Linked DNA regions of Pelodiscus sinensis. The protein of the gene in region 2 interacts with the protein of the main gene of each other region in a pairwise test. Links are inferred from orthologs where the notes say so. Each region holds a gene or a part of one and is shown on either strand. Other genes may lie near its edges.

Evidence for each region.
Region 1: the proteins of STAT3 (region 2) and GADD45GIP1 interact in binary tests that used the Homo sapiens proteins (3 or more experiments, as listed by UniProt). The link is inferred for Pelodiscus sinensis from reciprocal best matches to the Homo sapiens genes STAT3 and GADD45GIP1.
Region 3: the proteins of STAT3 (region 2) and NFKBIZ interact in a two-hybrid assay, tested with the Homo sapiens proteins (2 studies listed by BioGRID and IntAct). The link is inferred for Pelodiscus sinensis from reciprocal best matches to the Homo sapiens genes STAT3 and NFKBIZ.

The regions. Positions count from the first base shown.
Region 1 is NC_134729.1:12,996,541-12,999,804, forward strand, and holds GADD45GIP1 (large ribosomal subunit protein mL64), read left to right. Parts: upstream 1-719; 5' UTR 720-770; coding exon 771-1,111; intron 1,112-1,753; coding exon 1,754-2,084; 3' UTR 2,085-2,620; downstream 2,621-3,264. UniProt on the Homo sapiens protein: Acts as a negative regulator of G1 to S cell cycle phase progression by inhibiting cyclin-dependent kinases. Inhibitory effects are additive with GADD45 proteins but also occur in the absence of GADD45 proteins.
Region 2 is NC_134739.1:9,064,549-9,068,293, forward strand, and holds the start of STAT3 (signal transducer and activator of transcription 3), read left to right. Parts: upstream 1-1,207; 5' UTR 1,208-1,359; intron 1,360-3,745. UniProt on the Homo sapiens protein: Signal transducer and transcription activator that mediates cellular responses to interleukins, KITLG/SCF, LEP and other growth factors. Once activated, recruits coactivators, such as NCOA1 or MED1, to the promoter region of the target gene.
Region 3 is NC_134711.1:151,892,615-151,896,359, forward strand, and holds the start of NFKBIZ (NF-kappa-B inhibitor zeta), read left to right. Parts: upstream 1-781; 5' UTR 782-876; coding exon 877-1,129; intron 1,130-3,603; coding exon 3,604-3,743; intron 3,744-3,745. UniProt on the Homo sapiens protein: Involved in regulation of NF-kappa-B transcription factor complexes. Inhibits NF-kappa-B activity without affecting its nuclear translocation upon stimulation.

The DNA.
Region 1 (3,264 bases), on a different chromosome or scaffold from region 2:
AGGTGTCCCTCCAATGCCGTTTCTGTCACTTCTGACACCACTGTGCCCCAAGAGGATGGCTTTTCATCTTGGCACCACAGACAGACAGCACACCATCTCATTCCATTGCTTAGGTGCTTGCATGTCATTCCAATGCTACTTTCGGACCCTGTTCTGAGGGCCATGCCCTGGTCTGATGTAAGCGTTACCCCTGGGGGGGCAGGGGAGTCTTGGTCTCATTGCCCCTGTACAGGTTTCCCAAGGGTTTCTCTTTGTAGTGGTGGCCGACCTGGGAAATCCGTCAGGGCGCAGAGCACCTGCTGCCAGCTGGCTGGTTACGTGGGCTCAGGCTCTGCCCGCCTGTCCCAGGATTTTGTTGCTCAGAGGCGGCCACCTTGCGTGGGGGGGGCCTGACCACATGTCGCTTGCACGTGACACTGACTCAGGGATGCCAGGTTTGGCACCTCAGCTCAGCCCCGGGTTAGGAGCCAGGGCATCATGAGGAGACGTCTCATTTTGGGGCACGTGGCACCTTAGCTCCACTTCCGGTCCTCACTGGCCCAAAAGCCCCACTTCCGGTCCTCACAGGGCCTCCCCATGTCCACTTCCGGACTCCTATACCCACTCTTCCGCTCCCCAAGGCCCACTTCCGGTGGTTCTTCCCTTCCCCCCCCACCAACTTCCGCCCTCCACCACCCCACTTCCGGTCAGCGGGGCGGCGGACACGTCTGTACGCAACCCGAACGACTTTCTCGCAGGACCCGCCCCCTCGGGTCACGTGACGGGCCAAGATGGCGGCGCCCATGCAGCGGGCGTGGCTGGGGTTGCTGCGGGCCGCGGCCGCCCGCTCCTACCACGCGCGGCCGCCCCCGCGGCGCCAGCGGGGCGGCGTGAACCGGCCAGACCCCGACGACCCCCTCGTGCCCCCGTGGCAGCTGCAGCCCGCCTATGAGGCCAAGCTGTTCGCGCGCCACGGCTCCGTCTCCGGCGTGGACCCGGCCCGCCTGTGGCCCAGCCCCGAGCGGCTGCGGGAGATGGAGGCCGAGGAGCGGGAGTGGTTCCCCGGGCTGAGGGAGATGGAGGCGGCGCTGGACAAGAAGGAGCGGGAGGAGGAGAGGCTGCGGGTGGAGAGGTGGGGAGGGGGCCAGACCGAGCGGGGACGAGCTCTGGGCCCTAACAGTGGTGGGAGGGGGGGCCCTGGCACTTGACTCATTCCAAGGCGGGGGGAGCTCTGGTCACGGAGGGGTCAGGTAATATTCCTGCTAATCTTTCCACCTATGTGTGGAATATTTGTATGTGCACCGAATCAGGTGCACCACCAGTAGAAGCAAAAACCTAGCAGTGGGCAGTCTGCTGAACAGCTGGATGGCATAGCTGCCCAATTGCACAGCTTACAGGAAACACTGGGGAGAAACCTCATCGTGGAGGTGTCTGGAAGCCCAAAACTTGACCCAGTTCCTGGGGGGGGGGGGGTGCTGGAACCTAACCTTAGTCCTGGAATATTGATCCCCATTTGGAGTATGACACCCCCCACAACACATTACTGTAGGAAATGCCCCAGCCCTGCTCTTATGAGCAAGGTTCCCAGGCCCGCCCCCCAGGAAAGGGGAGTACGTTATTTTACTAACTCCACAGGAGAGGTGACCTCTGTCACCCATACAAATTGCCAAGGCAAGTCCTGGGAACGGCAGTGGCAGGAGAGATACAAAGAGCCTGCCGCTTGTGCCCTGTCGTGGTGAGTGTCTCACGGTTTGTTTCCGATTTGCGCTGGCAGAGAGAATCTGATCGCTGCCAACATGGCCAAGATGCCACAGATGATCGAGGAGTGGCGGCGGGAAAAGGCAGCGCGCAAGGAGAAGGAGCGGGAGGACAAGGCCCGGAAGGAGCGGCTGCTGGCTGAGGTCCAGGAACGCTTTGGTCACAAGGTGGACCCCCGCAGCACCAAATTCCAGGAGCTGCTGCAAGAGATGGACAAGAAACAGCGCAAGGAACTCAAGCTGAAGAAGAAACAGCTGAAGGAGGAGGCCAGGAAGCAAGCTGCTGATGCTGCCACCACTGCCCCAGAATCTGCCCCTGCCTCAGCTGAGGGGGCGGAAGCAGCATAAGGGAGTACACGATCTAGAATCCTCAGATTGGGAGCCATGGTTGTCCTGAACTTAAATTCTGTTCCCTGCGAGTGCTGGACTGGGGCTGAGCAGGGGAGGTGGCAGCTCAGATCTGGAATGCTAGTCGTGCTTCTTGGAACAACAAGTACCCACCACTGGTCATTCTACCTGGGGGTCAGCGGCAGGGAAAAGGGCACTGCACGGCCAGGCCAGCCCCTGAAGTGTGCCAAGAGGGGTGGACAGCTTCCCCCCCTCCATGCTTGTACACCCAGCCAGCTCAGGACGGGCTCTCCAGCCACCCCCAGCTGCATTCAGATCTGCGCTTGGGCCACCTCACAGAGGTTGAGAGAGGCACAGGGAGGTCATTGGAGGATCCTGCTCAAAAGCCCCAGGCTCTTCCCCTCCTCCCCCCGGCCACCATTCAGTTGTGTAACCGCTAGGCTCCTTTCTCTCCCAGCACAGCCGGTTCTGTCCCTTCCAAGTTGGTGGCCTGAAATCCCTGTACTTGTATGTTGAAATAAAAGGCTCTGACGAGGGCTTTGGATACCTGGGACTTTCATCAGCCAGTTCTCTCCTGGTTACAAACATGCCTTAGAAACCCCTGGTTTTTCTGGTAAGAGTCAAGTCTTGCTTACCCCTTCCCCGCCACGGGGATGTCTTGAACTGCTGGTATGGATTGTTACACAGCAGCCCCGTTCTAGCCCAGAGGTGGCTGCATTTCAGCAGCGAGCAATGATGTAGTCACTCTTCACTAGGGCTTTTCAGTGGTAGGTCTCAAATAGCTCTCCGAAGACAGCCCGTGTCACTGCCCTCTTTTACAGAGGGGAAAACAGGCATGGGGAGGAGAAGTGACTTGCCCAATGTCACACAGGAGGCCAGGAACTGGAACCCAGGCCTCATGACATCACAGCCTGTCCTCTGTCCCCCAGCCCATGCTACCTCCAGGAGCAGCACAGTTTAGTTAGGAAAGAGTGAGATTCATTATCATAGGCAGAATTCCCTCCCGGGGCCTGTGCCCTGCACTCTGCTCCTAGTTGTGCTTTCTTCCAAATTGGAGACTGAGTCGTGGGTGGCAAGGGCGTAACCGACTGCTCGGTCCTTCCGTGGAGCCATCTGCAGCCTCGCTACACCCAGGCAAAGGGAATGAGCTGAGACTAGCGCCTAGGTCCTAACTCCTCAC
Region 2 (3,745 bases):
AGTACCCCTCCCCATGTGCCCCCCAGGCTCAGCCCCCCAAGTACCCCTCCCCATGTGCCCCCCCCAGGCTCAGCCCCCCAAGTACCCCTCCCCATGTGCCCCCCAGGCTCAGCCCCCCAAGTACCCCTCCCCATGTGCCCCCCCAGATTCAGCCCCCCAAGTACCCCTCCCCATGTGCCCCCCAGATTCAGCCCCCCAAGTACCCCTCCCCATGTGCCCCCCCCAGGCTCAGCCCCCCAAGTACCCCTCCCCATGTGCCCCCCAGGCTCAGCCCCCCAAGTACCCCTCCCCATGTGCCCCCCCCAGGCTCAGCCCCCCCAAGTACCTCTCCCCATGTGCCCCCCAGGCTCAGCCCCCCCAAGTACCTCTCCCCATGTGCCCCCCAGGCTCAGCCCCCCAAGTACCCCTCCCCATGTGCCCCCCCCAGGCTCAGCCCCCCAAGTATCCCTCCCCATGTGCCCCCCAGGCTCAGCCCCCCAAGTACCCCTCCCCATGTGCCCCCCCCAGGCTCAGCCCCCCAAGTACCCCTCCCCATGTGCCCCCCCCAGGCTCAGCCCCCCAAGTACCCCTCCCCATGTGCCCCCCAGGCTCAGCCCCCCAAGTACCCCTCCCCATGTGCCCCCCAGGCTCAGCCCCCCAAGTACCTCTCCCCATGTGCCCCCCCAGGTTCAACCCCCCCAAGTACCCCTCCCCATGTGCCCCCCAGGCTCAGCCCCCCAAGTACCCCTCCCCATGTGCCCCCCAGGCTCAGCCCCCCAAGTACCCCTCCCCATGTGCCCCCCAGGTTCAACCCCCCCAAGTACCCCTCCCCATGTGCCCCCCAGGCTCAGCCCCCCAAGTACCTCTCCCCCAGTGCCGCCCCCCCATACCCCGTAAACAGCCTGTCCCCAGATTACCCCCCCCCCCCCATAGCGGCCATTCGCCCTTTAAGAGGCGGGGCCAGCGGCAGCCCCGCCGTGCTGACGTCAGGCGCTGCCCGGAACTCAGCTGAGTTTCCCGCATGGACATTCCCGGCACTTGCCGCTCCCCCCGCGAGGCTTCCGGGCTCCCGTGTCCCTCGGCTCGGCCCTGCGGTGGGAGGGGAAGCTTCGCGCCGGAACAGCCAACTAGGGGCACCCTCCCCCCCCCGCCAATCCTAAATAATTAATCAAGTCAGAGACGGGAGGTGCCGATTGGCCGAGAGGTTACGCCCCCCGTGAATAATGAGCAAAGGCGGCGCGCCATTGGCCAGCGGCTCCGTGACGTATGCAATGGGGGCGGGGCCGAGGCCGAGGGGGCAGCAGGTTTCTGGACTGCCGCGGTGGGAGCAGGAGGCCGAGCGCCCCAGGCAGCCGGAGCCTGGGAGCCCCGTCCCCGCGGGTGAGCAGGGGCCCTGGGGCTGCAGGCAAAGCGGGGGGCGCCTGTGGCATGAGTGCGTGAAGGTGCCGCACCCGTGGGTGCTGGGGAGCAAGCTGCTCCCTGGGGGCGGGGGCTGGGGCTGGGAGGGAGGGGACATTTGAGCCCATGGGTGCTGGGCTGGGGGGGACAGCTGCACCCAGGGGTGCCTGCCCATGGGTGCTGCTCCAGTGGGGGCAGTGTCGTGCCACGGGGGGGGGGGCAGCAGGTCCCATGGGTGCAGGGCAGGGCAGGGCTGGGCTGTGGGGCATCTGCACCCATGGGTGCTGGACAAGGCTGCTAGGAGCCTAGAGTTGGGGCAGCGGGTCCCATGGGTGCTGCCTGCCGGGCTCTGGCATCTCTCTCACGCTGCTGGGGCCCTGAGGAGCGAGGCCGGTGGCAGCGCTAGAGCCAGATTGACAAGCCCTAGAATGAGGAAACTGAAAGTGGCAGCCGGAACCCGGCCCCTCTCGCACATCCATCTTGTCTTGCATCAGCCTGGCTGGGATACAGGCTCTCCCCAGCCCCTCGCCTGGCGTCAGTGGCCCTGGCTGGGTGCTGCCGTGGAGGCTAAGCTCCCTTGTGATGCTGGCTCCTGGTTTCCTTCGGGCAGCCTCTTGCTCCAGAGCTGATGGCGATGGAGGTCGAGGGAAACTGAGCCGGCCAGCCGGGCTCTGCTCTGTCCCCATTGCCTAGCATCTGCCTAGGGGTTGGATTGAAAAGCTTGGCCCAGCTGCTGAGCACCCTTCCTTGTGTCACGGACTCGCTCTGGTTAGGAGCTGATGCTGCTCCCTGGTACCTGCAGTGGGTGGGGGGAAAGCTGCTGCGGTGTCTTTTCTTGGAGAAACTTTATGGCTGGTGCTTGTAAAGCTCCGTGTGGCTCGCGCTGCCTGGGGCCCACCTCACAAGGCCTAAGAGCAGCTTGGGATGATGGGCATCGCCTTTCTTTCCGAGGCCAGTATAGATGCTGCGTGGGTCTCGTCGCCAGGCCAGGAAACGATGCTGTCGTTTTGCTTTTGTTATTAGTCACTGTCCAGTGTCCAGGGGCGATGGGTTTGCAGTCATTGGGGGGAGCAGGGAGCCGTTTCTCTCTTACCCAGAAACAAACTTTCTGAGGACGTGCCCCCCTCCCCCCCAAGCTCTGAGTGCCCTCCTTCAGCTGGAGGAGCCCCGGGCACCCCCCACTTTTGGCCTGAGCACTGGCCAGAGCATCCCTGCCCTGTGATTCAACCGCTGGCCAGCTGGAGCTGAGCCCCCATTGGCTTTAGGGGCAGTGAGGAAGGGGCCTCAGGACAGAGCATGAGTAGGCCCATGGCCTCGGTTAGGGAATGCTTAGCCTTCATTGGCCTTCGCTACCTGCTGCCAGAAAGGTTGAACCTCTCTGGTCCGGCAGCATGTGCGGTCTGGCATGATTTTAGTGCTTGATCCTTCCATGAGGGCAGAGGACTGGAGTCCATGACCTCTCCAGGTCCCTTCCAGTTCTAGGATTCTAGTGAACCAGATGGCCACACCCTTGGTAAGTGGATGAGTTTCCTACAGTCCTATAAAGTTTGTTTACAGCCACCAGGTCTGGCTCTTAGTGTTCTGTGCTGTTGTTGATTAGCTCTAATTGACCCTGAGCCCAGGAAGCGGTGGGAGTGTTGGTAATCCTGCTAGACAATATTGACCTCCCATGATTGGGCAAATTCTCTGATTCTGCACCAGTCAAGTCCCAAGGGTGCCAGACTAGAAAGGCTCCACTTGTAGTACAAAACCAAACACCCCTGCTCTGCCTTTTCCTTGAGGCTCTGCCCCAGCATGGCCTCTTCTCCCAGGCCTGGCACCCCACTCACTCCATCTCCCACTAGGAATGTGAGAGGTTGAGGCATGAGCTGATGCTTATCGCTTCCAGTTAATGGTTAAACTCCTGCAGGGCTGGCTGAGCCCCTGTAACTGATGAAATTGTAATTGGTTACACCCGCGATTCTCAAACTGTGGGTCCTGACCCCCCGGGGGGTCGCAAGCAACTTGGGGGGGGGGGGGGGGGTCGCAGTAGCACAAAGTTTGAGAACCCCTGCGTTACATGGCTAGTGTTTAACAGTTTTTACCTGTCCCTTGCTCATTTTCACTGGGCAGAGGGTTGGAGTTAGGGATAGCTATGTAGGCGACTAGCCGATAAGCATAGCCTTACATGCAGGCTCTTAAAAGGCTGAAGTGCAGCAAGAGGAACCAGTTGTGAGCTGGGAATCCGCTCTCCTGGCTCTCACCTGGTCCCTTCCCCGCATTGCCCTTCTGCTCCTGGGGCTGGGAGCTAAGCTAGCTGCAGTTCTGCAGTTTCCCCCGCTTATCGGCTAGTTGGTGGAAATTCCATTGACTAGTTGATTCAGTGTAA
Region 3 (3,745 bases), on a different chromosome or scaffold from region 2:
CCAGCATTTCTACCCAAAGATGCTTGCCAAAGTAACAACAACCCTAATTCCCACCCTTTTCCCATTGCCCCTCTCTCCTGCTGTTGCTAGAAAAGGGTGGGATTTAAGGCTGTTGCTCCTTTGGCAAGCTGCTTGGGGTAGAAACCCTGGGCGAAATTCTGGCCCCATCGAAGTCCATAGCCAAATTCCAATCAGCAGTGTTCCCTCTAATTTTTTCCCATCCGTGCATGTGGAATACATTTCGTTATGCATTGACGCATGGGCAGATCTGCACTTCTAGTAGAGACACATCCTGTGGGTGCCCTGTCAGCTGAGCAGCACCTTTCCTGGGTGGCTGCCCACGCACTGAGCCTACAGGGAATACTAGCAAGGGAGGCCAACTCTCACCCCTTCTTTACTTCTGTATGTACAACGTAGGGCATTCAGCGCCTGCCCCTGAGCCCAGGCTGGTGCGTGGGGTCGGGTGGAGCATGGTGGGGGAGCCTCGTAGCCCAGGGTGCCTCCGCCCAGCGGGAGACGCGCCAGACGGGACAAAGCCTTGTTGTTGGCTTGGTGGGGGTGGGTTGTGCAGCCTCGGGCTAATGATTCACCGCGCGCTCCGAAACCAGCGAGGCCGCGCTCTCCCAGCCACCGCCTGGCGCCCGCGGGGTGTTGCCCAAGCCCGGGACTTTACGGGAAGGCCAGCCCCCAGCCCGGCAGCATCACCCCGCCCGGGCCAATGGCCTGCGCGCCTGCCGCTTCCCCCGGACCCGCTCCCCGCCGGGGCGGAGCTGCTATAAGAGCCGCCGCCTGCCCCGCCGCCTCCCCACACTCGCCCCCCTCCTGCTGGCGGTTTGCTGCCTTCCCCGCCGTCTCTCCGCTCCCGTCGCCAGGAGCATGATCGTGGACAGCAGCAGCAGCAGCAGCAGCTGGGAGGCGCCGGCCGACGGCGACTCCAGCTCCATGAGCAGCCCCCTCAACCTGGCTTTTTTCTATGGCGCCTCCCCCTACTCCAGCAGCGAAAGCAGCTGCTCGCCCGCTCCCTCCGCCCCGGGCTCGCCCGGCTCCGACTCGGAGCTGTCCGTCAGCAGCTGCGGGGGCGACGGCTGGAGGAGGGACTCCCTGGACAGCCCGCGCCATGCCCCGCAAGGTACGCGCGTCCCCCCCTCCCCCGGGCGCTGCCTGCTGCAGCCCTCCCCGGCCGCGGCTCTCCCCCTACCGGCTCTGGGAGGCGCGGAGCCTGCCCGCTTGGATAGTTAGCGCCGGCCGTAACGCGGGGCCCTGGCAGGGGCCCTACGGGGAGGCACGTCCACATTAGCCGAGGCAGCGGAGCGGCGCTGGGCTGCCCTGTGTGCTCGCTGCTCTCCGCATTGCACGGGACGTGGGTGGCTGCAGCGCGCCCTTCCCAGGGAGAAGATGCCGGAGTAATTGTTCTAGAGGGGAAGGGAGCTGAGCGCTCTTCAACCCCACTGGAAACCCTAGACAGGACTATGTAGCACTTTAAAGACCAACAAGATGGTTTATTAGATGATGAGCTTTCGTGGGCCAGACCCACTTCCTCAGATCAAATAGTGGAAGGAAATTGGCAAGACTACATATACTAAAGGATACAATCAAAAAAGTGAACACGTATAAAATTGACAAATCAGATTTTAGAACCAAGGGAGGGCGAGGGGGGAAGGAGGTTAGTGTCTAAGAGATAATGATATTAAGGGTGATAATTGGGGAAGCTGTCTTTGTAATGGGTATTGGTGGAAGGATGTATGATGGAAACGGCTTCCATCCAGGCCGGGGTTGCAGCGCTCCTAGTTCCAGCATCTATGGATTTTGCTCAATGGTCAAATGCTCTGCTCACCCTTGCTTACCTCCCAGGCCTATTCTGCAGCTGGATTTGTCGTCTGATGAAAGTAGCTTATGCTCACTTAAAACCTAGACTCTAGATCTCAAAAGATTCAAATAGTTATGATTTGTGTGAGACCATGTGTAAATAGTGTCTTGTGATGGTGGTGGTCCCTTTTTTTCCTTCTGCTAGTCCTTATTTTTGAAAAAATTTTGAAGTGAGGAGGGGAGAGAGGTGCTGGCACCGTCACTGCATAAAGCAAGCTGGTTACCACAAGGGATAGTTTGAAAAAGAATGCCTGGGAATTAATAACTGTTTTGAGAATTAAATATAGGCTAGGAAGAAAGTTTATTTAGAAAGACTGTCATATTTTGAAATTCACTTTCCAATGGGGGGGAAAGAACTATATTTTGCATTGGATGATTCATTTTCTAGTCTAGTGCATCTTTTATAGGGAAAAAAATCCTGTGAGCTCAGCAGAGCATCCTCAGAAGCCTTTGCTTAATAGGGGATGAGGTCTTAGGGCTGCATTCTAATACCCTTTATCCATGGCAAGCAGCACCTTACTTAACAAATAATCCCATTGATTTCAGAGCGGAGTAAGGGTATCAAAAGCTAGCCCTAGGAGATTTGTGTATGTATCATCTGTATGTATTAGGATGTCAGCACAATCTGCCAACAGCCTTTTATGTACAGTGGCTTATTTAAATATAAGTCCTTTGAATATCTTTGCTCCACCATTGTAAGGTAGTACTCTATAATTATCTGCTATTTCTCTCTTTTCCCTCCCCCCTTCCCACCATGCAATAAACAATAGACTTTCCCCTCTGATTTGATTTGTATGTGGTTCAATTTAGTTTCCATGTAATTTCTGTTGAAAACATTTTAATCATATATGCATGACCATAAATATCTTGTCTTGTTGGTAATACCTTTTTTAAAAAGTAAAAATGTTATTTGTAGTTAGGGTTGACCTGTAAGCCTGTTTCCACTTCATATCTCCACTCAAAGGCTGTGTTTCTGGCTAGTCCTCTGGGGAAGGAAAGCTGGGGCTGCTGGACTGTGCTGGGATGAAGTGCTTTGAAGCCCACAGACTCATACTGGACCTCAGTAGTCCTGAGCCCTTTATTTCCTCTTCTGCTAGCCAGAGAAATTTGATCGCCCTTTAGACTTCAGTATATAGATTTTTATGTTAGACTGACTACGTAGTTTCCTTATCAGGTCACATAACTTCCTTTTGCAAGTCTGGATGCCTTAGGTCATCATTTCCTTTCCCACTTCTGTTTTTGTAGCTTCAAAACTGATTTAATTTTAAAGAGGATATGAGACTGAAGAGGTTAGGCAGGGACTGTCACAGTTGTATTGTACTTCTAACAAAGCAAGTCTTTTTTCCTTTTTAAAGCAGTAGTTTCAGCCAGTATGGAGATAACAAACACAAGTAATTCTCAAAATTGTTAGAGACAGTCCTACAGCATTTTGACATTGAATATATTTTTAATATGTAATGGATTGGGGCAAGGAGCTGTCTTTTTGTTCCTTGATTACGATGTGTTTTACTGGTTAACAAGCTGGAAATAATATAAGTGGGGTGTGTGGAAGACTCCAGATAAATAAAATTCAAACTGTTTATATTCTTCAGAATACATTGTCAGCCACTAAAGCATTTCAGAAATCAAAAGACGCTCTACATTTTCAGTTGAAAACAGTTTCGGCTTATTTTCCATTTGCTTCCTTGCATCAGATTGTGCTAGTGCATTAATTTTGTTTGCTTTGTGTCTCAACAGCCGAACACCACATGGGGGGAGGAAAGCAGCACAGAGGACCTTTCCAAGGGGTACGTGTGAAAAATTCAGTGAAGGAGCTCCTATTGCACATTAGAAGCAGCAAACAGATGTCCTCAGGCCATGTTGCTGATGAATTCAAGGT